4 linked regions of the Diceros bicornis minor genome follow. The protein of the gene in region 2 purifies or fractionates together with the protein of the main gene of each other region. This does not show direct contact. Links are inferred from orthologs where the notes say so. Each region holds a gene or a part of one and is shown on either strand. Other genes may lie near its edges.

The links.
Region 1: the proteins of RELA (region 2) and SP1 purify together in Homo sapiens (affinity purification with western blotting; 7 studies listed by BioGRID and IntAct, with this or other methods). This does not show direct contact. The link is inferred for Diceros bicornis minor from reciprocal best matches to the Homo sapiens genes RELA and SP1.
Region 3: the proteins of RELA (region 2) and RNF182 purify together in Homo sapiens (affinity purification with western blotting; 3 studies listed by BioGRID). This does not show direct contact. The link is inferred for Diceros bicornis minor from reciprocal best matches to the Homo sapiens genes RELA and RNF182.
Region 4: the proteins of RELA (region 2) and PML purify together in Homo sapiens (affinity purification with western blotting; 3 studies listed by BioGRID, with this or other methods). This does not show direct contact. The link is inferred for Diceros bicornis minor from reciprocal best matches to the Homo sapiens genes RELA and PML.

The regions. Positions count from the first base shown.
Region 1 is NC_080756.1:16,909,870-16,917,080, forward strand, and holds the start of SP1 (transcription factor Sp1), read right to left. Parts: upstream 3,008-7,211; 5' UTR 2,901-3,007; coding exon 2,894-2,900; intron 2,341-2,893; exon of another isoform or gene 2,012-2,340; intron 1,830-2,011; coding exon 1,672-1,829; intron 1,356-1,671; coding exon 1-1,355. UniProt on the Homo sapiens protein: Transcription factor that can activate or repress transcription in response to physiological and pathological stimuli.
Region 2 is NC_080770.1:7,547,290-7,554,679, reverse strand, and holds the start of RELA (transcription factor p65), read right to left. Parts: upstream 3,017-7,390; 5' UTR 2,182-3,016; coding exon 2,175-2,181; intron 1,562-2,174; coding exon 1,535-1,561; intron 1,433-1,534; coding exon 1,278-1,432; intron 1,120-1,277; coding exon 971-1,119; intron 112-970; coding exon 20-111; intron 1-19. UniProt on the Homo sapiens protein: NF-kappa-B is a pleiotropic transcription factor present in almost all cell types and is the endpoint of a series of signal transduction events that are initiated by a vast array of stimuli related to many biological processes such as inflammation, immunity, differentiation, cell growth, tumorigenesis and apoptosis.
Region 3 is NC_080753.1:52,952,585-52,959,499, reverse strand, and holds the start of RNF182 (E3 ubiquitin-protein ligase RNF182), read left to right. Parts: upstream 1-3,907; 5' UTR 3,908-4,067; intron 4,068-6,915. UniProt on the Homo sapiens protein: E3 ubiquitin-protein ligase that mediates the ubiquitination of ATP6V0C and targets it to degradation via the ubiquitin-proteasome pathway.
Region 4 is NC_080744.1:67,085,927-67,093,886, reverse strand, and holds the start of PML (protein PML), read right to left. Parts: upstream 3,012-7,960; 5' UTR 2,904-3,011; coding exon 2,769-2,903; intron 999-2,768; coding exon 532-998; intron 1-531. Other genes in the region: STOML1 (stomatin-like protein 1), read left to right, coding at 5,216-5,333, 6,875-6,981.

The sequences.
Region 1 (7,211 bases), on a different chromosome or scaffold from region 2:
ATGGGTGTAAGCGTGGTATTGCTGCTGCTGGTCTGCCCCAAGGAAACACCCTGCATTGGGGCCAAGGTGATTGTCTGGGCCTGTGGGTTCTGGACTTGGAGGTTCTGCAGCTGAAGAGTCTGCCAACTAACCTGTCCATTGGGCCCCACTGTTGGTGTCCGGATGATGATGGGACCAGAGTTTGGAACAGCCTGAAGCTGGAGGTTCTGGAGGGTTTCCTGGGAGATAGCTTGAGTTGTAAAGGTCTGCCCTGACAATGGTGCTGCTTGGAGGGCCTGGAGGGCCTGTCCCCCTTGAACTAGCTGAGGCTGGATAAGAATTTGTTGTTGTTGCTGCGTCTGCTGGTTTTGCTCTCCCTCTTTTTGCTGACTTGCTTGCAGTGAGCCTCCAGATGTCTGGTTCTGCTGGATGCTCAGAGCATCAGACCCCTGTAGCCCACTGACTCTCTGGGGTGTCTGACCTTGAGAGTTGGTCCCTGCTGATCCGCTGGTGGTAAAGTTCATAATTCCCATGTTGCTGGTGGTAGTAGTTGTTGAATAGCTATTGGCATTGGTGAAAAAGGAGCTGGAACTGGCTTGTGATGATACCAAACTGGCAGAACTGATGGCAGTCCCTGAGGTGACAGGCTGTGAGCCGCTCTCCTGGGACCCAGAGCTGCTGATCGTGACTGCCTGAGAGCTAGGAGTCAAAGTAGCTGCAGAAACGCTATTGACAGGTAGCAAAGTGATATTCCCATTCAGGGCCACTGGTACATTGGTCACATACTGAGTCTGTCCTGAGAGTACATTATTAGCCAGGCCTTGGAGGGGAACAGCCTGCTGGAGTAGATTTGGCATAGCAGCAATGATGTTGCCTCCACTTCCTCGATTTGTGATGATCTGTTGGTTTGCACCTGGTATGATCTGTATTTGACCAGAACCATCCTGCTGCACTTGGGCCCCAGTGGCAGCAAACTGCAGCTGTTGCCCATCTACGGTCTGGAACTGTGGGATTACTTGATACTGAATATTAGGCATCACTCCAGGTAGTCCTGTCAGGACTTGCTGGTTCTGTAAGTTGGAAGTGGCAGCCACAACATACTGCCCACCAGAGACGGTGCGATTCTTGGAAGACTCGCTGCCATTGCTGCCATTGGTACTGCTGCCACCCTGTTCCTTTGAGGTAGGGGTAGCCCCAGAGGAGGAAGAGATGATCTGCCAGCCATTGGCACCCTGTGAAAGTTGTGTGGCTGTGAGGTCAAGCTCACCTGTGCCCCCTGACTGGTTTGGGCCCTGGGAGTTGTTACTGTTTTCATTGGGTGACTCAATTCTGCTGCAAGTTGCTGCCAGCAGAGCCAAAGGGGATGGCTGAGATTCCTGGCCAGAAAATACAGAAGAAAGTAGTTAGTTTAGTGACACCCAGCTGCCAGCCCAGAGGGCAGTATACAACAAATAAGCAGCAACACAGTGCAAACAAAGAGCAAAAAAACACAACCAAAACCTGACCTATCTATATCGCTAAAATTCTCATCTTTGGGGATCTCCAAGTCACTTGCCTTTCTGGGCTTACTTCCCTATCTATAAAATGGTTCAGCCTCTTCCTAAAAATTTTTCTGTGAAAAGGAAGACAACCATCTAAGAATACCTACATCCTCTCAACACCTTCCCCAACTGTATCCTGATCATCACTTACCTGCCCTCCTCCTCCTCCACTGCTGCTGCTACTGCCTGTGCTGCTGCTTCGAGCCTGAGAAAAGGCACCACCACCATTACCATTGCCCCCATTATTGCCACCAACGCCTTTTTCAATCTTCACCACGGCTGTCATTTCATCCATGGAGTGATCTTGATCTACGAGGAATTAAAAGACAAACAACTTAAAGTCGGGGGAAGGAAAAGGGTAAAGCGAGGAAGGGTAAAGGAGACTATGATGAAACAGAAATGACTAACAGGAAGGTGAAAGGCGCCAGTGTGAAAAAGAAAAAAAAAAAAATGGATTGGGGGAGAAAGGACAGTTATAAGACGTGTAAGACCTGAACTAGGCCCGGTACTGCCAAAACTGGGCCTCAATTCTCCCTTGCACAAAACTAAACTCAGAAAACACTGAAAAAGTACTTCCCGTATAAGAAAGGTGAGGGGCGGTGGGCATGTTGAAAGAGTTCCAAAATAAGAAAAAGTATTCTGGGGAAAAAAAGGAGAAGGATAGGTAAAGCAAAAAACATGTGGGTGGATGGAAAGCTTGCTAAAATTAGGGTCAAAGATGGAGAAAGAGGAAAATTCAAGTGTAAAAAGGAACAAGAGGAGAGAAGGGGAAAAGGGGAAAGAAGAGCTAAGTGTGAGTGGGGGAGCATTTGTGAACACTGGTGAGGGGCTAAAGGAGTCCAGGGGTTAGAAATCAGGAGGTTTCGGGGCGGATGGAGGAAGGCGGACCCTAGAGGGAAAGGGCGGTTTCGGGGTGAGGGGCGTGGAAAGGGCGGGACGGGGGGGGAGGGGAAACCTACCGGGGGGGGGAGGGCCTTGGGGCAGGCAGCGACGAGAGGGCGAACCAGGGAGGCGGTTGGCCCGGGCGGGGCCTGCACTGCTCGGGCCGCCCCCGCGGCTCCAGCCCCCGGCGGGAGGAGCCTCAGGCGGGCGGCCGAGTAGTGGGGGGTAAGGCCCGTCCCCCGTGGCCGGGGCGGGCAGGGGGCGGGCGAGGCCACGCTGCCCCCTCCCCCGGGGCGGGCGGCCCATCCCCCTCCTCCTCGGAGGCCCCGCCACTGCCCTTCTCCCTCCCTTCCCTCCGCCCCGGGCGGGACCAAGGCCGCCGCCGCCGCCTCCCGCCCGCCCCCCCTCACGGCGGGGACCGCCCGGTCGGCCCTCGCGCGCGCCCCCTCACTCCCCTCCCACCCCTAAGCTTGGAGTGGACTCATCCTTACCGCTCATGGTGGCAGCTGAGGGACGAGCTCAAGGGGGTCCTGTCCGGGGGGGTTGGGGGGGGCCGGGAAAAACGCGGACGCTGACGAGGCAAGCGAACCCGGACCGGACAGGGAGGGGGGGGGTAAGGAGGAGGGAGCAGCGCGCCACAAGCCCGGCCTATGCCCCGCCCCACTACTGCTGCCCCGCCCAATGAGGGAGGGAGAAAGGAGGGACTTGCAGAAGAAAGGCGGGCAGATTACCCAATGGCAAGACTCGCTTGCTCTCTGAGGCGTGTAAGACAAAGTTGCGTGTCTGGTGTCCGCCCAAAAAGGCCGCCCTCTCAGTGTTAAAAGCCAATGAAAGACGAAGGAAGTGGGGATGGGCGGAAGCTACAGATGATAGGCTTGGAAAGAAACCAGTCAACAGGCAGGCGGGCTGCCTCAGACGTAGGGATAGGAAGAGCTTTGATTGGAATGACAGAATAACGACCAACCAGAACCCTGGACATGCCTGGGCAAAGTTCTGGTGGGACGAGAGGTAAGAAGTAGGCAGCAACGGGATAGGAAGCTGATCGAAACCAATCAGAAATCAGGCGGGCAGCCAGGGAAGTTATGATTGGATTAACACTGAAAAGAGACAAGATAGGACGCAAATTGACGTAAAGCAAAGGCCAATTAAACGCGGAATGAACTCTGAGGGCGGGAACGTGGAGTGGGCAGAGGAGAATTGGCGTCTCCCTCAGTCACTCAGTCCAATGAGGCGGCGAAAGAAGCCAGGCACCGCCTCCAACTTGGCCAATGGGCGTTACTAGAGCCGCCGGTCGTGGGGGAGGGAACAGGGCTGTGCCAGGAGGAGTCCGTCGCCATATTGGACCTTCTCAAGGGACGTCTTTACAGGGATTAGGTGGTGCGCGTCAGCGGAGCCTTGCAGCTCCACAACTGTATGGGCCACGACACTCGGCGTGCGCTTATGCCTTGTCACCCATGCTCGTTTGAGTCTTCATTTAACCGCCCTTAAAAGTCCTCTCGGGCCTCACCCCTCCCCGGGGTGGGCGGACAGGCAGGCAGATCCTCTGAGTGTGGGTGTAAGCCCTGTGGGTGCAGACGCCACGAGATCTGGCGACGGCGCGCACACAGCCAGTGAACACCGAGCTGACAAATTTGCAAGGTCTTTGGGAGACTCCGGCAAGCGCCATTTTATTGAATTCCCCCAGAGGTGCTGACCACTTCACTTAGGGCGGGTGGACTTTTCAAGAGCTTGTCTCCTGAGGCTAAAGTGCATTGGAGAATCACCCAGAGTCAAGGTCCCATAAGCCACTTACTTTTTCCCCCTTAATTGTAAACACTTTTCTAAGCATAAAACAAGATAGAGAGGATTCCTGCTTTTTGCAGCTACAAAGGTTGAAGGAGTTTTTCCCCGAAGCACCTGAATTTCTGGCCTCCCATTCTGCCTCTCCTTTATCCTAGTTTTGGTGGAGGCAGCCTGGGTGGCTTGGCAATGACATAAGGAGGTCATTCTCTGTAGTACTTGTATCTTAGATGTTGTCACTTCATTTTCTACAATTTCAGCACTTCGTGATATGTTGTGAGGTTTTTAAGTCTGGATTCCCCTAAAACTGAGGCCTCTGCTGCTTTGGACAGGGCCTGAATAAGGTGAAATGACTGTTGAATGCCTACTGTGTTAGGTGCCTAAGTCAGTTAGGCGTTTTGCATTCCTTATGTCACCCTCATAAGGAAGATATTAGTAAATACTAGAGCTATTATGTATTTTATAAGTGAAGAAATTTAGGCTGGGAAGTAACTTGCCCAAGGTCACAAAGCTAATGAGTTGTAGTGCCAAATTCCAACCCAGAATAGTCCCACAAAAAGTCTTCTATAAATTCTTAAGTGAATATAGCAATGCCCTGTATAACCATTTATAAAAATGGACTTAATTAAAAAAGTTTTTTTTTAATTGTTTATAAAAAATGCTTTTTTATTGTTACCTTCTAGCTCCTGAAAAAAAAAATACTTTCAGGACAGCTCAGATGGCATCATCCTCTTGTATAGTTTTATTATAAAACATCACATTACATTCTAATTGAAAGCAGCTCTCCCTAGATCAAAGTTTCTCAAAATATAATGTCAGGGAGTCTCTATCTGAATCCTCTGGGCTGCTTTTTTTTCTTCTTTTTTTATGAGGAGATCAGCCCTGTGCTAACATCTGCCAATTCTCCTCTATTTTTGCTGAGGAAGACTGGCCCTGGGCTAACATCCGTGCCCATCTTCCTCTACTCTACATGGGACGCCGCCACAGCATGGCTTGCCAAGCAGTGCGTTGGTGCGCGCCCAGGATCCAAACCGGCAAACCCCGGGCCACCACAGCGAAGCGCGTGCACTTAACCGCTTATGCCACCCGGCCGCCCCGTGGGCTGCCTTTTTAAAAAGGTGGATTCCTAGGGCCAGCCCCGTGGCTTAGTGGTTAAGTGCACGCGCTCCGCTGCTGGCAGCCCGGGGTTCAGATCCCGGGCGCGCACCGCTTCTCCGGCCATGCTGGGGCCGTGTCCCACATACAGCAACTGGAAGGATGTGCAGCTATGACATACAACTATCTACTGGGGCTTTGGGGGGAAAAATAAATAAATAAAATCTTTACCAAAAAAAAAAAAAAGATGGATTCCTAGACCCCCCTCTTGGACCTAATAAATCAGATTTTCTGGGGTGGGACTTGAGAATGTGCATTTTTTAAGTAGCTCTTTCAAGTGACTGCCTAAATTGGAGTTTAAGAAACACTAAAGGAAGAGACTAGAGAGATGAAATTTTCAGAAGGGAAGGAACTTCCTGGAGGGAATGAACTGCATTACTCATCTTTGTAAACCAAGCTCTAGAGATTCTAACAGCTGGTTAGTGTATTCAGCAAAAGACCACATCTAAACTTGAGGGGGAGGTGGTGGGACGCAGGACGACTAAGATTGTGGAGCAGTCCTCTGAACGTTTCACATATATTTTCTAACTTAATCCTTTCACCCAATCTAAGAAACTGTAATCCTCTTTTACAGATGAGAAAACTGAGGCTCAGATCCTTCAGTTAAATTATGACTTCTGTTTAGTTTCCAAAGCTTGTGTATTTTCCATGGTTCTAAGCTAGTCCATGCCTGAAATGGGAACTAGGATTTGATTTTATCCCAGGCACTGAGAACAAGGCTTAGATTTAGACTGAGAAATTCAAGAGCCATCATCCTAGAGGGGAAGAGGGGAGGAAGGCAGGCAAAAGGGGTAATTAGGCCCATGTGTATGGTGATGGATTATAATTAGTTTTTGGGTGGTGAACATGATGTAATCTACACAGAAATCAAAATATAATGACATACACCTGAAATTTTTTTTTTTTTTTTGTGAGGAGATCAGCCCTGTGCTAACATCCGCCAATCCTCCTCTTTTTTTGCTGAGGAAGACGGCCCTGAGCTAACATCTGTGCCCATCTTCCTCCACTTTATATGGGACGCCGCCACAGCATGGCTTGCCAAGCAGTGCATCGGTGCGCGCCCGGGATCCGAACCAGCGAACCCCGGGCCGCCGCAGCGGAGCGCGCGCACTTAACTGCTTGCACCACCGGGCCGGCCCCTGAAATTTAAAATAAACTAAAATAGGGGCTGTTCTGGTGGTGTAGTGGTTAAGCTCGTACACTCTGCTCCTGCGGCTCGGGTTCGTGGGTTTGGATCCTGGGCGCGGACCTACACACCACTCAAGCCATGCTGTGGCAGCGTCCCACATACAAAATAGAAGGAAGACTGGCACAGATGTTAGTTTCAGGGCCAGTCTTCCTCACCAAAAAATAAAATAATTTTAAAAAATAAATATAATAAAAAAAAATTCTGTCTTGTTAAAAAAAAAAAAAAGAGCCATCACCCTTTTCACAATACTCTCTCTTTGCTTCTCCAGAACAAGACAGACTTCAGACCCTGGCCAGTAGGGATGTCCTCAACATGTGCTCGCTTATTGACAGTCCCTGAAAGCAAATGGACATGATCCATCTTTTCCAATTACTCTGTGAAAACCTGAATGAATTTTCTTTAGACTAAACACAAAAAAACAAAAATGAATAAACTTATTTCAAGGCTTTTCAAACCCCTCACATGCCAGTGTCCGTCTATACTCGTGAAGTCATTTAAATAACTCCTAATGACTGTGTTTAAAAAGCAAAGTGGATCATTTGAGAGTTGTTTCACTTCAAAATCACTCATAAGAACACGAATTATGCCTGGCTGTAACATAGTAAGCCTCACATGTACTAAGTGGTACCGTTCAACATGGCAGTCAAGGCTCTTATTGGTCTGCCCTGCACTTATTCAGGCTCATC
Region 2 (7,390 bases):
TCTCCCCCTCACCCCTCACCTTGGAAGGGGTTGTTGTTGGTCTGGATGCGCTGACTGATGGCCTGCTCCAGGTCCCGCTTCTTTACACACTGGATCCCCAGGTTCTGGAAGCTGAGGCCCCCCAGGCATCAGTCCCACTGTCTCCAGCAGAGCCTGGGCCCTCCCGCCTCGCCCAGTCTGCCCATTCCTCTCCCACCCACTCACCAGATGATCACTCCGTGCTTAACCCCCTCGAATGGCTTCCCACTGTGCTGCAATGACACCCACTCCTTCTTCTGGCTGACACGCCCGTGCCCGGCCACCTGGCCCTAGCCCTAGTCCCCGTTGGCTCCCTGCCCTCAGCCACAGGGGCTTCTTTTCCGTTCTCCAAACACACTAAATTCATTCCCATTTCAAGGCCTCTGCACTTGTTCATTCTGCTTGGAATGTTCTTTCTGTGCTTCTCTGCTTTCTCACCGTTCAAATCTAACCCGAGAGAGGCCTTCCTGACCTCCTGATCCAAAGGAATGAGACCAGCTCCCCCGCCTCCCCCACTCCGGGCTATTCCTCCAGCCTATTACTGTTTTATTTTCAGCACTGAAATTATTACTAACAGTATCTTGTTTATTTATTTGTATATTTATTTACGGCCTGCCTCTGTCAACTGGTATGTAAGCTCCAGGGGAGACTGCTGGTCCAGTGGTTTTCTTCCTTACTGCAAGAGATGTGACACTGAGGGACTTGCCCCTCCAGTCACAGGGGTTAGGGGTTCAGAGGTGATTAAGGACCCATCCCTATCCCATGGAGCTCACATCTGCTTGAGAGTAGACACACAAACAGATAACTTCAAGACAAAGGGAATCTGCTTGCAGAGCTGGGGAGGAATTCAGCCCTCTGTCCAGAAAGGAGTAACACTGTGACAGCTACACACTGCCCCCTCTCTGGTCCTCCCACCTCCCGCTCCCTCCTCTGCTGTCCGAGGGGAGCTCACCTGTGGATGCAGCGGTCCGGGCAGAGCTCAGCCTCATAGAAGCCATCCCGGCAGTCTTTCCCCACGAGCTCGTGGGGGTGAGGCCGGTGAGGGGGGTCCTTGGTGACCAGGGAGATGCGAACTGTTCCTGGTCCTGTGTAGCCATTGATCTGTGCAAAGTACAGAGAGCATCCTAGAGGCTCAGGAATTGCAGACCCAACTCCCAGACACAGGTTGCACAGGGGTCTGGAAGCAAGGCCGCTGGGGTTCCAGAGCCCTGCCCGGATGACTCTGTGCCTCCCCCGCAACCCTGGGAGCCAGTGCTGACCTTGATGGTGGGGTGGGTCTTGGTGGTATCCGTGCTCCGCTCGCCTGGGATGCTGCCTGCTGAGCGGCCTTCACACTTGTAGCGGAAGCGCATGCCCCGCTGCTTGGGCTGTTCGATGATCTCCACATAGGGGCCAGAAGCCTGGGCTGGCTCTGCTGGGGAGACACCGGCCCGCCTCCATCAGGTGGCTGACCCCATGGCCCCTAACCCCCGGGGGGAGCTCATCCCGAACCACTGAGAAAGGATGGTCCACTTACCCGAGGAGAAGATGAGGGGGAACAGGTCTGCAAGGGGAGGGAGACAAGTGTCAGCACAAGCCCACTTCCCATCCTCACGAGGGAGGGCCTGCTTCCCCACGGAGAGGAGATGGAGCGAGGCTCCCTCCGAGGGACACTGAGTCAGGGCCCGCTACCTGGAAGCCGCAGTAAAACTAAGGGGTCGGGGTAAAGGAGCCAGAAACACCTGTTTCCCGAGGGAAAACTGGGTTTCGCGTCCTCCCTTTACTGGGGGAAACTGAGTCAGGTCCTTCTCTACTTTCATAAGGAAAACTAAGGGAGGACACTCCCCACCCCCCATCCAGAGAGGAAACTGAGTCAGATACAGGCTCCCCTAACAAGAAAACTAAGTCAGAACTGCCTCCATGGGCCTCGGGGGGAAACTGAGTCAAAGCTCACCCCACACCCCCACCCCAGGAGGATACTGAGTCAGGACCCCCTCCACCCAGAGGGGAAACTGAGTCAGACCCCTAACGCCTGCCCCGCCCCGCGCCACCATCCGGCCGGCCGCTCCCTGCGCAGCGCCCATCGGCGCAGGAAGGGGCGGAAGGCGGCGCGGGGCTCCCGCCGCGGTCCCGGCGGCCCCGGCGCGGCCACCCGCGGGGTTGGAGGGCGCCCTCACCTTCCATGGCCGGGGTCCCGGGGGCGGGGCCGGGGTCGCAGCTGGGCCCGCGGCGCCCACTACAGCCGAGCCATTCGCCAGAGGCGGAAATGCGCCGCGCGCGCCCGCCGCCGCGTCACTGCCGGGAATCCGAATGCGCCTGCGCGCTGCGCCGCCGCCGCTGCCACTGCTGCCGCCCCGCGGGGCCTGGGGCCAAGTGCCTGCTGCGCAGAGGACGAAGAGGCCGCGCGCGCCGTGCTGCCGGGGGCCGGGAACAAGCGTGCGCCCCGCGGGAGACGAAGAGGCTACCCGCCCGGAGGCTGCTCCCGGGGTTGGCGGGGCGGCTTGGCTCGCTCCTGGGGCTGGGCCTCCTGGAGGGCGGGCCCGGCGATTACTCACAATGTTTTTAGGGGATTTCGGGGCCCCCTCCCGCGGATCGGAGGAGTTTGGTGATGTCACCCAGGGCCGGGTCTGGAGCAGAGCCAGGGCTGCTGGGCTGCGGCCGCCCGCCCTGCGCAGGGAAAGGCCCGGGGCCTGCTTCGCCCGCAAAGGCCGGGTGGCTGACCTCCACACGGTTTCCTAATCGCTAAATGTGCTCTTGGTGGCTGTCGCCGCAGAAGCACTTTTTAGTTTCCTGGCCACCCCGATCGAGATGCAGCACGGGGAAAGGGAAGCGCCCGGACCTCTCCACCTGGCGGTGCTTGGATCGCGGGCTTCCCGGAGCCCACTGCACGCAAGGGGCGACCGAGGCTCCGCGCCGCGTCCGCTCCCGCCGGCGAGCGGGCCGAGGGCTCGTCGGTTTAAAATGCATCCACCCTGCCAGCCATCTGGGGCAGAGGTTGGGCAGGAGGCGCCCTGGGGTCAATCTCCGGAACCTCGTCTCCGCAGCCTGACGCCTGTGTCTTAGAAGGTCCGGGGCTCCCAGGGGCCAATTGAACCCGCTGGGTCACGCCCCCCGCCCGCCTCCCCAGGGCCTCCAGCTAGAGTTTAACCGTTGGCCAAAGCATTTCCAGCAGTTAACCGTCATGCAAGCCCTCGGCGGGAGTATTGTCCCCAAGGCCAACCCCAAGGCGCATTCGTGCGGGGTGAGGGAGGGGGCTAGAGCGCCCCCCACCCCAGGCTGTTTCCTCATCCGAGAATGAGGATGCTCCATGGCAGGCGGTGGAGCCTTCCCCAGATGAAGAAAGACTTTTTTATATTCTCTAAATTCATTCTAAATTAGGGAATCATGTGGGAATTGGAAAAGATTGGAAATTCTGACTTGCTTTCCCAGGCTCTGAAAAAACAGGAAGAGAAAAGTGAAAATAGTTATTACCCCTCCCACTCACTTGAGTTTCTCACGTGGCTGGCCCCGTTAGAAAAGTCTGCTAACTTTCTTGAGGAGGCCAACTTCAGGTCGACAGAATAGATTAATTATAATCTTTGGTTAGTGACACACAATCGTCATTGATCCTCGCATGATCCTCTTTTTAAAAATTCGTATGTGTTTATAACTTTTAAATTAATACATCGAGTTCCAGTGTACCCACTGCAAAACTCCAGGGGCTCGATGGAACCCGGCCAGGACTTAGATCCACCCTTGTGCTCCTAACCTGTTCTTCCCTTCCTTATCCCCCGTGTCGGGGGCACCACCATCCAGAATTCTGTATTTATTATTCCCTTGACTTTTTTGAAAGAAAAAATTTTTAAGAAAAATAAATTCACTCACATATACATGCCTAACCAATATATTGTTTAGTTTTGCTTAGTTTTGAACTTCTATGAAGAGAGTATCATATTTTTTTGTCCTTTATTTGCTTTCTTCACTCAACATGTTACCAAGGTTTATCCATTTCATGGTTCCATCCATACCTACTTTTTACTGCTGTATACTATTCTGCTGTGTAAATATACCACACACCATTTATTTATTTATTCATCCTGAGGATGACCATTTGAGTTTCCAGTTTTTTGCTATAATAAATAGTGTGGTTAAGAACATTCCTGTGAATGTCTCCTGTTGTATACGTTTTCCTGGGTATATACCTAAAAGTGATTTATTAGGGTATAGAATTTCCCTTTATCAGTTTTCTTTTTATTTATTTATTTATTTATTTATCCCCCCAAAGCCCCAGTAGATAGCTGTATGTCATAGCTGCACATCCTTCCAGTTGCTGTATGTGGGACATGGCCCCAGCATGGCCAGAGAAGCAGTGCGTCGGTGTGCGCCCTGGATCCGAACCCGGGCCACCAGCAGCAGAGCGCACGCACTTAACCACTAAGCCACAGGGCCGGCCCTATCAGTTTTCAAAATAATGCCTTGGTTCTCTATCATCCTCCAAAATCGATCAATAAACATTTAAAAAGATTATCAATGAATTCATGGGTTTATACATATTTGATGTGCTTTAATCTATTGCAATTATTATTCTTATTGAAGTTCAGATTGTTCCGTCTGTGGCCATTGGGAACCTTTTCAAGTTGATTCTTTAGTCCTTTTGACACAATTCCAGTAGTGTCCAAGGTCTGGAATCAGACAGCTTTCTGAGGAGTCCTGGTTCTTCTCTTCGTGGGAAATGACCACAGTCTGAGTGCCAGGGACACTTACTGTAGCTGGGTCAGTCACTGTAGTCCTTTTCAGTGAACAGTTAGCCAATATATATATATTTTTATATGACATGCGTTAGAAGTTCATACTGACATCTCCTTTTCAAATTTAGGATTACAGAGTTTTAACTCAATTACCTTACATATTTCTCCCATGTCAATAATAATCTCGATTCTCTTTTTACAGAAATAGAAAAATCCATCCTTAAATTCATATGGAATCTCAAGGAACTTTGATTAGCCAAAACAATCTTGAAAAAGAAGAACAAAATTGGAAGACCAACACTTCCTGATTTCAAAACCTACTACAAAGCTATAGTAATCAAAACAGTGTGGCACTGGCATAGAGACAGACATATAGACCAATGAAACGGAATAGAGAGCCAGCCCTGATGGCCTAGTGGTTAAAGTTCAGCACTCTCACTGCTTCCGTGGCCCCGGTTTGTTTCTGGTCAAAGAACCACACCACCCATCTTCAGTTGCCATGCTGTCGGGGTGGCTCACACAGAAGAATTAGAACGACTTACAACTAGGATACACAACCATGCACTGGGGCTTTGGGGAGAAAAAAAAAATAGAATAGAGAGCCCAGAGAAATAAACTCTCACATATAATAGTTGAATGATTTTTTTTTTAATTTTATTTATTTTTTTCCCCCAAAGCCCCAGTAGATAGTTGTATGTCATAGCTGCACATCTTTCTAGTTGCTGTACGTGGGACGCAGCCTCAGCATGGCCGGAGAAGCGGTGCGTCCGTGCGCGCCCGGGATCCGAACTCAGGCCGCCAGCAGCAGAGCGCGCGCACTTAACCACTAAGCCACCGGGCCGGCCCTTTTTTTTTTTTTTTTAAATTTTATTGAACGATTTTTGAAAAGAGCGCCAAGACCATTCAATGGGGAAAGGACAGTCTTTTCAACAAATGGTGCTGGGAAAACTGGATATCCAAATGCAAAAGAACGAAGTTGGACCCTTACCTAACACCATCTACACCATAGACAAATTAACTCAAAATGGATTGAAGACCTAAATTAAAGAGTTAAAACTATAAAACTCTTAGAAGAAACATAGGGGGAAAGCTTCACGACATTGAATTTGGCCATGATTTCTTGGATATGACACAAAAGCACAGGCAACAAAAGAAAAATAGATAAATTGGACTTTATCAAAATTAAAAACTTTTTTGCATCAAAGGACACTATCAACACAGTAAAAAAATCAATAGAATGTGAAGAAATGTTCGCAAATCACGTATCTGATAAGAATTAATATCCAGAATATATAAATAACTCCTACAACTCAACAATAAAAAAACTGAACAACCCAATTCAAAAATGGGCAATGAAGGGGCCAGCCCGTGGCGTAGTGGTTAAGTTCAAGCGCTCCGCTTCCGCAGCCTGGGGTTCTCGGGTTCAGATCCCAGGCATAGACCTACACACCGCTAGTCAAGCCATGCCATGGTGGTGTCCCACATACAAAATAGAGGAAGATTGGCACAGATGTTAGCTCAGGGACAATCTTCTCCACCAAAAAAAAAAAAAAAAGGCAATGGACTTAGATATTTCTTCAAAGAAGATATAAAATAAACCAATAAGCACATGAAAAAATGCTCAACATAACAGCTACCAAGGAAACCCAAATAAAACCACAATGAGATATCACTTCACATGCATTAGGATGGCTATTATCAGAAAAACAAAATAAGTGTTGGCAAGGATGTAGAGAAATTGGATTCCTTGTGCCTCACTGACAAGAATGTAAAATGGTGCAGCTGCTTTGGAAAACAGTATGGCAGTTCCTCAAAAAATTAAACAGAATTACCATATGATCCAGCAATTCCACTTCTGGGTATATGTATATACAAAACAGTTGAAAGCAAGAACTCAGATATTTGTGCACCAATGTTCACAGCGGCGTAATAGCCAAAAGGCAGAAAAAACTCAAATGTCCACGGACGGATGAATGGATGAACAAAGTGTAGTATATCCATACAATGGCACCATTCAGCCTTAAAAAGGAATGAAATTCTGGTACATGCTACAACATGGATGAACCTTGAAGACATTACACCAAGTGACATAAGGCAGACAAAAAAGGACAAATATTGTATGATTCTACTTATATGAGGTACTTAAAGTAGTCAAATTCATAGAGACAGAAAGTGGAATAATGGTCACCAGTGGCTGGGGAGAGGGGGAAATGGGGAGTTAGTGGTTAATGGGGACAGAGATGGGAAGGGGAGTTAGTGATTATTGGAGATGATGAAAAGATTCTGCAGATGGATAGTGGTGATGGTTGTCCAGCAATGTGAATGTACTTAATGCCACTGAACTGCACACTCAAAAATGGTTAAAATGGTATATTTTACGATAGTAAAAAAGACTCAGTTCTCAATGACACCAACCAATTACTCATTTGATCTATCTCACACTATACACAAAACACTCTCAGAATAACAATACCAACCCTACAACCAACAATGTGATTACTGAAAAGAGTATATTTTTACAGTTCTTGCCCTTAAGTTATATACAATTTTTTGGTACGTATTCATCATCAGGTTAAGGAAGCTCCTTTCTAATTCTTGTTTACTAAGAATGTTTGTGATAAATGGGTGTTGATTTTTATCAAATGCTTATCCTGCATCTATAGAGC
Region 3 (6,915 bases), on a different chromosome or scaffold from region 2:
GAACCCAACTGGCAAAACTTATGGAATCTTTCCATCTGCCATGGCCCAAGTCTCTCCCACTAGTACTGTTAAATTTCAGATCCACTTTTTTGGGAAACATAAACTTTCACCTTTTGGAATTATTACTGGGAGGCCAATGAGACTGAACTACGGGGCCCATAAACCTAATCTACTCAGAGGTGACATAATGACCTATTGTAAAGGCTTAATCCAAGCCCTCCAAACAAACGAGAGACTGGTGGAACAATCTTTTTACCCCATGCTTCTGGGAGATGAAGACATCTAACACCACAGCCTACCAGTGGAGATATGGTTTACTGGAAAAGACACCTCCAAAAGGACTCCCTCCAGCCTTGTTGGAAGGGACCATATCAAATATTGCTGATTAATCCTTGCGCTGCAAAGTTAAAAGGTATTGACTCATGGATTCATGTTTCTCATTTTAAAAAGGCTCCCAGATCTACGACCCCTGACCAGACTTCTCAACCTGTTGGTGATCTTAAAGTTATCAAAAATTGCCCCAAAACAACAACCACTTGGACAAGAAGCAGACGACATCTGATGAAGACTGTAAATCCCAAGACACAGGACCATGCTTGTATTTCTAATCTTATATCTTCCCCATCTAAACCCTTAGTGATGATTGCTCAGTGACTTGAGATGATCGACCAATCTTGGAACTTGGAACAAACAAAGGACTTGATTCCTTTTCCAGACAGACTATGCCTAAGACTCATCTCCTGACTGCCTCCTTATTGCTCAGATGTGGTCAATCTGCATTACTCTTGCTCACTGCGCTACTCTTGCTGATGGTCGAGCATCTCACTTTCCCTCCTACGTGGGACATGACTTCCCAGAAATGAGCCTTCTTGGCAACAAAAAAAATATCAATACCTATATATATCAAACGGTTGATCCATGATGGTTTCTGCGGAAAGATCTTGATTAAAAGGGGGGAAGGTGGGCAGCAATATCGAAATAGAGTAACATATGTCAGGGCTTCTAAAATGGAGCTGGGAAACCCTTAAGGAAGTGAAGCTTATCCACATCTCTGCCCAGATGGAATGTGACTTTTTGAATTGTGCCTCACTGTTGTTATCTTGACCTTCCTTCAAGAAAACAAAAAAGCTTACTCCCGTAGAAAAAGGCTTACTCCCATAGATAAGAATTTTTTGCCTTGGAGATGGCCTTAGCAACCTATCATGTGAAGCCAAGGAATAACAGTTGTTGCCAACACCAATCACGGGTCTTATAAAACCACCTGTGTGACTTATCTCTTTTTGTTTTCATAAACTCTTGCTTTCCTTGTCTTCTCCAGAGCACATTTTGGGTTTCTGCCTAAATCTGTGTCTCCTGAATTGCAATTCTAATTGCCCAAATAAATATCTGTTGTTTAAATTGCAGTGATTTTTCCTCAAGATAGGAGATAAAACTAAATCTCCTTGGGAAAAGTGAATGTCTACAAGAATATCTCACAGAATAAGGCAGAACCAGGTCACTAAGGAATTGACTAAGTGTGGACCCAAAGTGGACTTTTCCAAGCCTTCAGCACCTGAGGGCAGGGATGGCCAACTCAATAGCCTTTTGCTGTTCTGTATTCAGTTCTCCACCAGGCAGTAATGTATAGGTCAATAAACAGTTATTAAGGATCTTTGTTTTTGATCCTCATTGAAAAATTACTAATGCATGCTCATTGGAAAAAAAAAAATCAAACCAAACAATACGGAATTGTATATAATAACAAGTAATAGTCCCTTCAAGTCTTACTCTGGTTTCAGAGAAACCACTGTTAACAATTAGGTATGTATTCTTCCAGACTTTGATCTATATGTTTATGTCTATGTTTCTATCTATCTATCTAGAAACTTTTTTGTACAGATATGGGATCACCCTATACATATTCTCCTGCAGCCCCTCTTTTTTCTTTAATAAGAAATCAATATCTTTCTACATATTTTATATATTTTATTCTTTTTAATGGCTGCATAGTATTATATGGTATGAATGTGCCAAATTTTTTAGCCACATCACTAATGATGGACATACAAGTTATTTCAAACTTTTGCTATTACAAAACTGCTGCAATACAGCGGGAGTTTTGCAGCACGATAGATTTCTAACAATTAAGATAGCCGGGTGAAAGTGTGTACATTTTAAATTTTGACAAATACTGCCAAACTGCTTAACAGCCTGTGGAAAAGACCTTGTCTCTTGACTTTGTCTGGAAGTACTAATGTTCCCATTACAGGAAAGTGGCCAACCTTTCTGAGGAACAAGATGTTTCCATTCTCCACCATAAAATGGATCTTATATTTTCATTAATTAATATGTGTGGCTTCAACTGGTAATAACATTGTTCTGCTTTATGGCTTCTCAGATAGGTAGCAAACCCAGAAAACATCAGCTACCCTGGGGTTTTATTGTACGTTATTGACATTCCTTTGGTGATTCACAAATGCCAGAAAACAAATGCCATACTTCCCAGGGTCTAAAAGAAGACACTGTAGGTTTTGGATTCAGTAACTGATCTTTCAAGAAAATATAGGATGGAGTGATGACTCACTCACCCCATGGGGCTGTCCTCCACCTCTGTCCTTCAGAGGAAGCGTTACTGTGGTCTGCTAGTACTTTTCCCTCCCTCTTCAAGAATTTCCCTAGGAGAGGATGCCTAGCATGCGCAAAGCTTAGCCTTGCCCTTCTCTTCTCCAGAATGCCATGGCCTGCAGCGCATGGCTAGTTCTTGGCACAGAGTAAGACAACGCTTACGGTAGATGCTTAGCAGTCACAGCCAGTAGCTGAGCAGTGGCAGCAGCTGCGATTCACAATGCAGCCTGAAAGTTGTGTCTTAGCCTGTGAGGTTACAAGTGCATCCTCTGTTTACAGTAAAAAAATTAAAGCCTGCTTCCCCCTCTCTCCTACCGGAGCCCTCAACAAGACTGACACCCGATTTGGGTGGAGTGAGACCCAGCTGAGGCGAAGCTTGGTAGAAGAAGGAGGAGGAGCAGAGGTACAGTGTCCCTTGGCAGCTCCGCACATGCTGCGGCAGTGGCAACAGGAGCACCGAGTACCAGTTGCTCAACACTTTATCAGTTTGCACTGCTCTTTCTCCTCTCTTCAGTGAATTTCCATTTGAAGGGCGCAGCTCCACAGAAGAAAGGTGTGGTGGGGGGCTTTGGAAGGCCCAGTGTGGGACACCAAAGGGAGTGCCTACAAGGATGGAAATAAGAATTGGCCCTGGGCTTGCTCCCCTCTTTCCCCTTCCCTTGCTTGCTGGGGCGAGACAAATGATTTGGTGAGGGAGACAGAGAGGGGTGTGTTTGTGGTGGTGGCGGCTTCTTGGGGATCCTCGTCCCCTCGGAGCAGCCAGACTGCTGAGGAGAGGGGCGGCGGTTCGGGGGCCGGTGGCGTTAGGCCGGCGGGTCCCGGACCCTGGGTACCCGGGGGTCCCCACTGGGCCCCGGGCCCCCGGCGGTTGCCATGGTGACGCAGGGTCGGCGGCTCGGCGCAGTGGAAACAAAGCCGCCCGCCTGCCCGCCCGCTCGCTCGCTCGGCGCCCGAGCTCCTCCTCCGCGGGCGCCTCCCTCCCCTCCCAGCGCCGCCGCCACCGCCGCCGCCCGAGCCGCTCCGACCCCGCGCCCGCCGCCGCCGCCGCCGCCGCCGCGGGCCAGGTAAGGCGAGCGCGCCCGCGGCCGGGAGGGGCGGGCGGGGCGCCCGGGGTGGGGGGCCGCCGCCGCGGGGAGCGGGCGCCGGGGCCGGCTGCAGCCGAGTCTCCCAGGGGCGCGTCCCGACGCCGCCGCGGCCTCTCCCGCGCCCGGGAGCCGCCCGCCCGGCCGCCCCGCAGCCTCGGACGGCGCCCGGCGGTCAGCGCCCCGAGGCCGGGGGCGGCGGCGGCGGCGGCGGCGGCGGGCGGCAAACTTCGCGGGCAGCGGCGGCGGCCGAGGCGGCTGAGCCTCCTCGGGCCACGACGGCCCGGGCCGCCGTCCCGGCACCGCTCGACGGGCGGTGCGGCGCAGGCTTCCCCGGAGCAGCGGCCGTGCGCTTGGGGGATGCGATTTTGCAGAGAGGCGGTGGGTGGTGCCTGCCTACATTATCTGTCCTTCTCTCTTTCTTTCTTTTTTGGTGTGTTATCGAGGCTTTTAGAAAAAAAAAAAAGATGGGGAAATATTTACCTTTGGACTTTCATGTTTCATAGTTTATTCTCTTTGAGGACCGGATGGGAGGATTGTAAGGGGAACAACCGAGACATTTTGATAATCTCTGAAAAGTGAGCCCAGTCTTATATGCCAGTGACGGAAGCCTTTTGAGGTGCTTCTGAAGTTTGTTTGGATTTTGAACATAACGACCTTTATCTTGGGAAGGTGTGCTTGCATCTGTAACTAAAAGGGAACGGTTGCCCTGGTTTCCCATGTAGCAATACCAGAGTTTAATCGCAGGACCAATACTTTGTAGATGAGAAGATACTTGGCAGTGAACGATGCCACTGCTGTTGTTTCTGGAAGGTATTGTGTTCATCCTTTAAGGAACTGGAAAATGCCTTGCGTTTTTGTGTCAGGAAGCAATCGGAAGCACCTCTGAAGGCAGGTAGCTGGGCGCTTTTTGCATCCGTGTTTATGAGTGTGATGAGAGGGTTACGATGCCGTTGCCAAGGGCACACGGGTACTAGATGGGGAATTGCTCAAGTTATGGGTGCCTCCCCCCTTTCTAAACAGCCCCAAGCCTTGCCATCATTTCATGATATTTAGTTTGTTGCAGACACAAAAAATGAATTAAAAGTATGATTGTGAAGACTGTTTTTTGGCTATTTAGATATCATCTCATGTGTAATAATGTGAAAGACGGAAAACAGTATTTTCAGGAATATAGCCGATCAATTCGGAAGGAAATATGTTTGTTAATATTATCTATTTTAATTGGGGAGAGATATCACATTGATAACTGGAAAATGATTCAGTTGATTCAATTGTATACCTAACTTGGTAAAATAATTTATAAGTTGGAAGAGGTCTATTGGAGAACATTATATGGAATGCAAGAAATTATACTTTTGCTAAAAGGGAGCTAATGAAAAGAAACCAATGACACTGATCGTTTTGAATTGCAGTTAAGTTGATTAGAATTATGGATATTAAAGCTACTTGAGGTGTTAGACATAAAGTGATTATGTAATAGTCCTCTTCCCTCTTTTGGGATTTCAAAATCCCTGTCAGCCTGCTGATTACTAGGTTTCTAAGTCTGTTCATATTTGCTGGCAATTTTAAGTAATGTCACTTCATTAGAAGATTATATTGGAAACTAAAGGATTAAGTTGCAGCAACAGTCTGCAGATTATTTCACAATAGGGTTTGTTTTTAAACCGAATTTTACCTGTAGAGTGATTTACAGATGCTCTGCTAAATACTCTTTGATGATGGTAATGAAATGGTACATTGATTAAAATGAAGTATGTAGATCTGTTTTGAGAAGATAACCAGGAGAGAAAATAAGTATTTCTCATTTAAGCATGAAAGGCAATCAGAATATTAAAGCCTAGGCATATTATGTAGGCATAGGGTAGTTTCACATTTTGTACTAAAAATAATTATTTTTGTGTTTTTTCTGAGGTACCAAGAGTACGGCTTTATTCAGGTCTTTGTTAGCAAATCCAACATTCAAGGGCAAGGATCTGGACCTGCTTTTCAGCCGGACGGGACTCTCACTATGGGTTCTAGCCTAAACATTTACACTGTGGCCCTTAGTTTCTATTCTGAAGAACGGAGATAACCAATGTTAATTCAGTACAATAAGGACTCATGTTTTGCCTTTGCTGCTGGCTCACAGAGGGCACAAGATTCAATATAGTTTGGCATCTTTAAAGCTGTATTGCTTTCTGCCAAGAAAAGAGTCAGTAAACATCAGAAACAAACAGTCATGTATTGCAAGCTCTGCTTTGTTGGAGTGGTTTATTTACACAAGCTCTGAAGCATGAAATGAAGCTTTTGTCGGTGCAGTGAAAAACAGTAATTTGGCATGTTCGTGTAAGTTACTAGCGTTCTGAAGTATGTGCATAACCAGATAGTGAAAGAAAAAAATACTGTGATCTCCACAGTATCTCCTCAGGAAATGCAAATGGAAAGTGTGCTTTATGTCCACAATTTAGATTAGCCACCTGGTGGAAGTAGGGAACAGCACAGCGCATCCTCAGGTGTAAAATACTACTCGTCTCTCTCACTAGTTCACAGGAGTATGAATCTTCTACGTTTCTAGGCTTCAGAGTCTTTAATTTTATGAAGAAAAACTGGTCCTAATTTTTCGTGTAAGTTGTAAAATATGGTCTGATAATTGTAACCACAGCAATTGTTCTACCTAAAGAATTCTGTAACTTAACTTATCAAGCATGTTCAAAGATATAAAAGGAGCCAAGAAATGTTCTTAAGATTGACATCGTACTTGTGCTATTGAAAATCAGTTGTTTGTAACCCTATGAGCCTGCACAGGGCATGGGCGGCGTAAGGCCACTGAAGCCTTTATTGGCTGTTTCTGGGTCAACGTTCTTTTGCAATTTCTAGTTGCACTGTGATAGCATGAGGACTGGTAGGTAATTTAGTGTCTAGTACAATGTGTTGTAGCATTTATAAAAGCACATTTGTGAAGGTTGATGGTTTTTTAATGATTTCTTCCTTACCGAAACAGTTAGGTTAGGATTTGTGGCTGTGGAGAATCATGTAGCCCTGAGACCTTGAGGAAAAATGCTATAAATATAAGGTATTGTTAACTAACCTGCTGTGCGTGGTAGGTATTGATTATTACTGCTGTGCTGAGAAAATGCATCGGAGACACATGGCGGTGGTGACAGGAAGTGGTATTTTGTGACATGGATTATTAATAGTGATTGATGGAGGTTGAAAAACTTTTGTGGGCATGTGTTTAATTTTTTGT
Region 4 (7,960 bases), on a different chromosome or scaffold from region 2:
AATAAAAATAACCAGAGTTGATTTTTTTTTCATACCAACAATCCCAGATAGCACAGTGATAATGGTTTTGACTTTTCAGACAGCAAGTAACTGCCTGCATCTCATCCTAGAATCCAGCTACACGGAGACCCCAAGGCAGCACTTATGAAAAATTCCACCCTAAGACTTTCTAAAGGGCAGTTTGGTAACATGTATCAAAATGTAAAATTTCCATACCCCTTCACCCAGCAACGGCATTTCTAAAAGTTTATCCTAAAGAAATTACTAGATAAGGATGCAAAGATGATTTTGCAGCATTCTTTATTACAGAGGGAAATTGGAAACTTTTACTATCCACTCGCGTGGGATGGCTTAAATTGTGGTCATCACCACAGATGCTGCTGGTCTGAGGAGCACACTTTTGAGTTGCAAGACCCTGAAGCTCCTTGTCCCACGCTCCCAGCTGTGTGACTCTTCGGATCTCTGCTCCCCTCACCCTCTACCTGGCTCTTGCAAGGATGCGCCACCCGACCCCGGGGCCTGCCCTCTCACCTAGTCAGCGTAGGGGTGCGGTGGTTGGGGTTGGAGCAGAAGATGTTGTTGGACTTGCGCGTGCCGTCCAGGAACTCGCGCACCGACTGGCTGCGGAGCTCTGCCAGGCGTCGGGCCTCGTGCTTGAGGAACCACTGGTGCGCCTCGAAGCACTTGGCGCAGAGGAGCTGCTCACACTCGAAGCACCAGAAGTCGGCCGGCTCTTTGCAGCGGGTGCAAACGGCCTGCGCGTCCACGATCTGCCGGTACACCGACAGGCGCCGCTGCAGACTCTCGAAGAAGACGTTATCCAGGGCTCGCGCGTCAGCGCCTGGGGGCTGGGTCGCCTGGCAGATGGGGCACTGCATGCCCGGCGCCTCCAGGCATCCTGAGCACAGCGTGTGCAGACAAGGCAGCAGCTTAGGGCACTTGGCTTCGGCCTTGCAGCCCTGGCAGCGCAGGAACTGGAACTCCTCCTCCGTGGCTTGCTGGGGGAGCAGAGAGGGAGGGGAGGACTTAAGTCCCAGGAGTCCCAGCCAGGAGACACCCGCCGCTATGGCTGGAGGCTGGAGGCTGGAATGGGACTTCATATTCCATTCCAGGCAGTTACTGGATGATGCAAAACCCAGGCTTCTCAGTAACCCAATCCCCCATTTACTCACTCCACAATTTATTGAGCATCTATTTCCCATCATAGTACCAAGCCCTGAGATACAAGGACATATGGGATACATCCCTGCCCTCAAGGAACTCAGTTTAGAAAGGATATACATTAAGTATCAACTTTATACTCATAAGCACTCATATAAAGTGCTTAATACAGTTCGGTGGTACCTTAAAAAGTTAAACAGGACTACCACATGACCCAGCAATTCCACTCCTAGATACATACCCAAAAGAACTAAAAACACGAACCCAAACAGGTGCTTGTACACCCATATTCATAGAAGCATTATTCATAACAGACAGAGGTGGCAACAACCCAAGTGTTCATCAACAAATGAATGGATAAACAAAATGTGGTCTACACATACAACAGAATATTATCTAGTCTTAAAGAGGAAGGAAATTCTGCTACACCATGGATGAACCTTGAAGACATCATGCCAAGTCTTAGACAGTATGGTTAAGTCAATAAGGCAGACACAAAATGACACATCTTGCATGATCCCACTGATATGAAATACCTAGACTAGGCAAATTCACAGAAACAGAAAGTAGATTAGGGGTTACCAGGGGCTGGAGGGAGGGAAGAATATAAGAAGGTATTCCATAAACGGTACAGAGTTTCTGGGGTGATGAAAAAATTCTGGAAATAGACGGCGGTGATGGTTTCAGAACATTGTGAATATACTTAATGCCACTGAATTGTACACAGAGAAATGGTTAAAATGGTAAATTTTATGTTATGGATATTTTACCACAGTAAAAAAATGTAAAAAAAAAAAAAGTGCTTAACACAGGACCGGCACATGAGAGGTGCTCATAAACGCTAACTAGTATTGATAAGTAATATTATTCCTAGTTGTAATTATGCAAATAATACAAATTACTGCACTTACTGTGCTTTCATGAAGGGGAGCAAAAGGGCCTGGCAGAGCATAGAACAAGTGATCTGCGAGTTCCTTTGGGAGCGGGAGGCTGGGGGGTTCTGTCCAGAAGACTAAGGCAAAGCTTCCAGGAGGAGGCCCTAATAAACTCCCTTGGGGATGGGGGTTGGATGGGCAGGGTTTTCCAAGAGAAGAATCCGGAAGACTTCCCAGAGGAGAAACCACAGGAGCTGCGAGGGCTTAGCTGATACACCTCTCTCCTCTGGGCCACAGTTTCACTTTCTGATCTGGGAACTTGGATTTAACTTTGTCCACACCTGGGACATGCCACTGGCTTCAGGCGGGGGCAAGCCGGCTCCTAGCTCCATTCTCCCTCACCTGTGGTCCTTCATCTGAGGCGAGCGCTACCAGGCAAGTCATCAGGGTGCGTGGGGGAGTCCAGTTCTGAGGGCCACTGACCCTCAGCATCTTGCCCCCCTGCTCCTGGAGAATCGCAGCCCAGAAAGGCTCCCCTAACTCATCCCGATCCTCTCTTCTACTCCCCGCTACCCGTACGCCAGCCAAGAGGGTCAGGACCCCTAGAGTCTGGTCTTTCCTCTGTGTCACTCTTTAAGGTACTTGGCCAAGTTCCCCTCTCCCTTCCCACCTCTCCCCCCAACATAGCAAATCAACAAAGCCTAAACCCCACCTCCCAAAACCCAGTAGTACCTCTGTGGGGCAGTGGCTGGGGCTGGGCTGGTGGTCTTCCGAGAGGGACTCCGGGGGAGGCATGGTGGGCGTGTGGGGCAGCGCGGGATCCTGCTGGGACCCCGGAGATCTGGCGGGTGCAGGCTCCTGCTGCATGGACTCCAGCTCAGTTTCGATTCTCGATTTTGATCTTGGAGGGCGGGAAGAGAAGCTGAACGAGACGTGTGCGCCAGAAGGCTGTCTCTCGAGGGTTCGGAAAGAGGAGGTGCCCGCTCAGGGCCCGCCCCCCGAGAGGAAGTGAGACAGAAGCTGGGGGCGGTTCTAGGCGCAAAGAGGCAGGCTGTGGATTCTGAAGACACGCTCAGAGCGGGGAGGAGGAAAAAGGAGGAGCGGAGTAGACGCACAGCAGGCCTGGCGGTCAAAGGATAGTGGCGGGGCTGACCAGGAGGGAGGCAGCCCCCACCCTTGGCTGTGAGCCGTACCTTCAGCTCACACTGGCAAAGCTTTGTGCCAGCCCCCAGATGGGAGCTGGGGGCATGGAGACGAGTCACATGTGGCCCTTGCTTTAGAAGCCCTGATCTTGTGGAAGTAGCAGGCCCCCAAACTGAGATTTTCACACAGTTATTGGGACTGGCTGGAATGGAGATACTTTAGCTGGGACTTGAAGGAATGGTGGGAATTCACAGGGGATTCAGGGATAGGGGGAACACTTAGAGAGAACAGCAAGTGCAAAGGCATGGAGGCTTGAAACAGGAGAGCCTGTTTAGAAACTAGTTTTGGTTATTTTCAGATTTAAGAGGAGACTTACGAGCAATGTCGGCCCAGGAGTGGGCTGGGGCAAGATCATAGCTAAGGAGATGGACCAGTTCTGTGGGTGATAGTCGGTTTGGAACCGAGGAACAACATGATCCATTGTGCATGTTGGGACAGTCACTCTGACAATGTGAGACAGGTGGCCTGGCTTAGGAGAGTGGCTGTGGGATGCAGAGGAGAGGCCTGAGTTAGAGACACTGGGAGGCAGCGCTGAGTGGAGATACGAGGAACAGGATGATGACTTGGGCGAGAGCTGGAAAGGCTGATGAATCTGAGGCAGTGAGGCATGGGGAGGGAAGAGGGAGAACTAGTGAGTGAGTATGAAGAGGGTGAGGAGAAAGCAAGTTAGCTCTTGGCCAGTGGAGAGGCATGCCAGGCCCGCCAGCTGGTGAGGGGAGAAAGAGCAATTCCAGGTGGCCTCATTGGGCCAATGCCCCTGGCTTCAAACTTCAAAGCATCCCAACCACTGTGCTGACCCTTGTGTACCCATTCTGCGCTCAGTTCTAGCTTGGAACAGACTAGAAGGGATGGTGACAGGGCCTTGCTCTTGTAAAGCTTATAGTCTGGGGTGTGTGTGGAGGGGGCATGGGGGGAAATCCAACTTCCCAGGGACTGTGTGAGGACTCATGAACCTGCCCTACCCTCCAGCCTGATCAGTACCCGTAAAGCTTTAGAATCAGGCCATCAAAGTAGGAAAAGCCAAAGATGGTGAGCAGTCATCTGCAGAAGGACCTAGAAGTGGCCTACGGCTGGGGGCCTGAGGGGCTGAGGAGGCAGGACGGGCATGTGGCTGAGACAAGGAAAACTTTATTAATTTCTTGGCTCACTTTGGAAGATAGCCTACCCTAACACCCTGTTGGAAGTTAGTGCTTCTCAGAGTAAATTCACTGTTTGTATTCGGGTTTTCTCAAGCCACAGAGAGGCAAGTTACCTGGATCTGGGTACCTGGATCAAGGGGCGTGCTCTTTCTGGACCCCACCTGCCCTGGGATACCTCTGTGCCACCCTCTCATTCCTTACTCTGACATGCTCCCTGAGGTCTGCACAGAAATTTCTTTCTTTTTGTGCCAAAGTTAGGCCCTCCCACCCCCCTTAACCACAGTGACCTGGTCGACAAATAAGTACTGAGATCCACTTTGTGCCAGGCCTTGTTTGCTGGGCTGTGGGGACACGAAGAGTAATAATTTGCTGACCATGGCCTGGAGAAACCATAATTCTAAACAAGGGCACCCTGCACAAACACCCCGACCCCAGTGTTTGATTGAGAGGCAGTGCTGAGAAGCTGGTAGCATTTGCTTGACTCTGGAGAAGATTCAGTTCCTGAAAAACCCGTTACAAGATCCAACTTCCCCTCCTGCTCTTCTTCTAAGGCCGAGGGGGAGCATGGAGGAAGAGGCGAGAACTCCTTCAGCCTCCCAGGAACGCAGACCATCCTTCCTCCGCGCCCCGCGGCCACAGTTCGGTCCTCCCAGCGCAGGGGGCGCTGTGCGACGGCGGGAGCCGGGCCCGGCCTGCCTGCTCCTCCTGCGCCTGGGCCCCGCCGCTGGCGGCGCAGGGAAAACCGGAAGCGGAGGCCGGCAGGAGTCGGGTAGCGTAGGGCCGGCTGGTCCAGCCGGGCGCCGTGCGAGGGCGGGGGCGTGCCCCCTGTCAAGAGCCATGCTTGGCAGGTCTGGGTACCGGGCGCTGCCGTTGGGGGACTTTGACCGTTTTCAGCAGTCGAGCTTCGGCTTCCTGGGCTCGCAGAAGGGCTGCTTGTCCCCGGAGCCGGGGGCCGGTGAGTGGCCGCCCAGCACGGCGGACCTGGGGGGTACCGGCTGGCATCCCCAGGCCCGAACTCTTTGCCTCTCGAGAGTCAGCTGGTCTGGCGCCCTTGCACTCTAAGAGGAGGGGCCGAGAGGGGGCACGATGTGATGAGGAGCCTGGACTGGGCGCTGGGATGCTGGCGCTGATCCGCCCTTCTTAGGGCTTCCGGCTGCAGCCGCAGAGCTTTCTCATCTTCCAAGAAGCCTCGCCCCATCACATTTCTCCTCGGCCCTTATCAGCCCTTTACGCCTGGGCAGAGGTTTCAAGTTGCCATTTTGCCTAGAAAGAAACCAAGGTCTAGGCATAGGAGGTCACCAGCACACTAAGGGCACTTGGCTGCAGAGAAATGGCAGAATCTTCGCCCCTGGGGGCACCTGTAGACGCCCTGAGCTCCAGTATCTCCCTGTTTCCTGGTGGAGATGCGCAGGGCAAAAAGGCAGGCCCTCAGCTGCCTGTTGTGTCTGCTCTGGCCCTTCTTGCTCCAAAGCCTTGAGTTGTTCCCTTGGCCCACAGGCCAGATCCCACATTCCTCAGCCTGACAACCAAACTCTGGAGGATTTGGTCTCTCCGTGACCCTCTTGTACTGATAGCTGCCCCTATCCAAGAGTTCCTTTCCTGCAGTGGCCACATGGGTCAGAGCCAGGCAGGAAAGGAGACTTAGAGGATTTGGGGTTTCTGGGAGGATGGAGCAGAGGCTCCTGTCTGCTTCCTGTCCAAGGTTGGGAGGGGAAGGATAGCAGAGAATAACCTCATCCCAGATTCTGGGGCTGTCTCAGCTCCACTCCCATCCTGGGCTCTTGGTTCTCAGGGGCCAAGACCTCTGGCTCAGATGAGCCTCATCTTCCTGGTTCCCCCTCCCCTACCTCCTACCTGAAGCTGCTTCAAGTGAAGCTTGCATTTGATGGTCCTTAGGGCACTGAAGTGGGGTGAAGAATTGTGAGCTAGGAAAGAACATCTTAGCCCTCATTTATGGCTCCTATTGATGAGCCATTAATGCTTTATTCCTTTAGGCTAAGGCATTATCTGCAAAAGGACTCCTTGAAAGCACCCTTCTGGAGCTGATGGTAGAGGAGGAATGGGTTACGCCAGCAGCTTTCAGTTCAACCCAGCAAGTGTTTACAGACGCCCAGGTGCTCCTGGCTCTGTGCCACATATGCGAAGGCGATGTAAATCATACAAGAGGATTGACTCCTGCTCAGCCCAGTGAGAGAGCATCACATGGATTGGCTTCTCAGATCTGATGGCTGTTGCCTAACAGAGAACAGGCCTTGTGAGGGTGGGACTTGGGACAGATTAGTTTTGATGTGTTGGAGGAGGGAAGAGTCCTTAACTAGCACTTGCCCAAAGATATGGGAGTATGAGGCAAGGAGGCAGATTGAGAGCCTTGAGAAGAAAGGAGCCACTGAAAGGGGAGGGAGGCAAAAGGTACACTTGACCAAGTTCACTCTGCCTGCAGCTGTGCTGCCAGACCCAGTTGGTGTTCCTTGACTGCCTCTGTTCTCTTGTCCCCAGATGTGCCTCAGAGCTGGCCCTCCTGCCTCTGCCACGGCCTCATCAGTTTCCTGGGGTTCTTGCTGCTACTGATCACCTTCCCCATTTCCGGCTGGTTTGCCCTGAAGGTAAGGCTGACTGGGTCAGCTCCCAGGGTGGTTGGGCCACACTGAGAGCTTTGGCATTGATGGATGAATTCTCTGTCCTCTGCTCCCTTCCCCTAAATATTATATGATAACACTTCTGTGAAATGGGCTGAGCAAGGATTGTTCATTTTCATCTTTCAGATCAGGAAACTGGGCTCAGACTTGTCCAAAGTCATCCTGGGAGCCAGTAAGTGATAGAAACAAGCCTTCCCAAACTCCCAGTCCTGGCGTCAGGACACTGGCTTAGGGTGGCACAGATATCTCTGCCAAATCTTCCTCCTGTTGGGTTAGGCTAAATTAGAAATGAAAAACACTCAACTTGGCCCAGCAGTCAATGAGTAGTAATAGGAATTCAGGCCTCGTTTTCAACGAGGGTTGGTATAGATGGGAAGAGGATGCACTAGAGTTGAGGCTCACACCTGAAAGCTGCAGTGAAGGTGGAAGCCCAGGCAGGCCGTGTCCTTCGTGTGGCCCTAGGCCACAGCCAACTTCTCTAGAAAGCCTTTGGGTTTGGTGTGGTCTGAAAGGGAGTCCTTAGAAGATCCTAAAATCCTAGTCCTAAAACTGCCTCTGAAACAAATACTGTGTGACCTTGGGCAAGTCACTTTGCCTCTCTGGTCCTTCATTTCTCAATTTGGACATATTTTCTTCTTTGAGGACTCCAGGGACCTGAAGTTGGCAAAGCCCTTTGCTTGGAGGTGCTGTTAGAGCAGCCCCACCCTTTCTCCTAACTAATTCAAGGGCAGACAGTTTCCTGGTTTGACTCATGTCTAGCTGCAGACCACGGAAGTGAAAAGTGTCTGTGAGGATCAAGTCAATACAGTGTGGTAGTTGAGAGCATGGCCCCTGGAGTCGTTCAGAACTGCATGCAAGTCTTGCCAGTTTCACTTAGGGGCTGTGTGGTTTTTGAGCAAGTCACCGAACCTCTCAGAGCCTTGGTTGTCTCATCTGAAAACAGAGC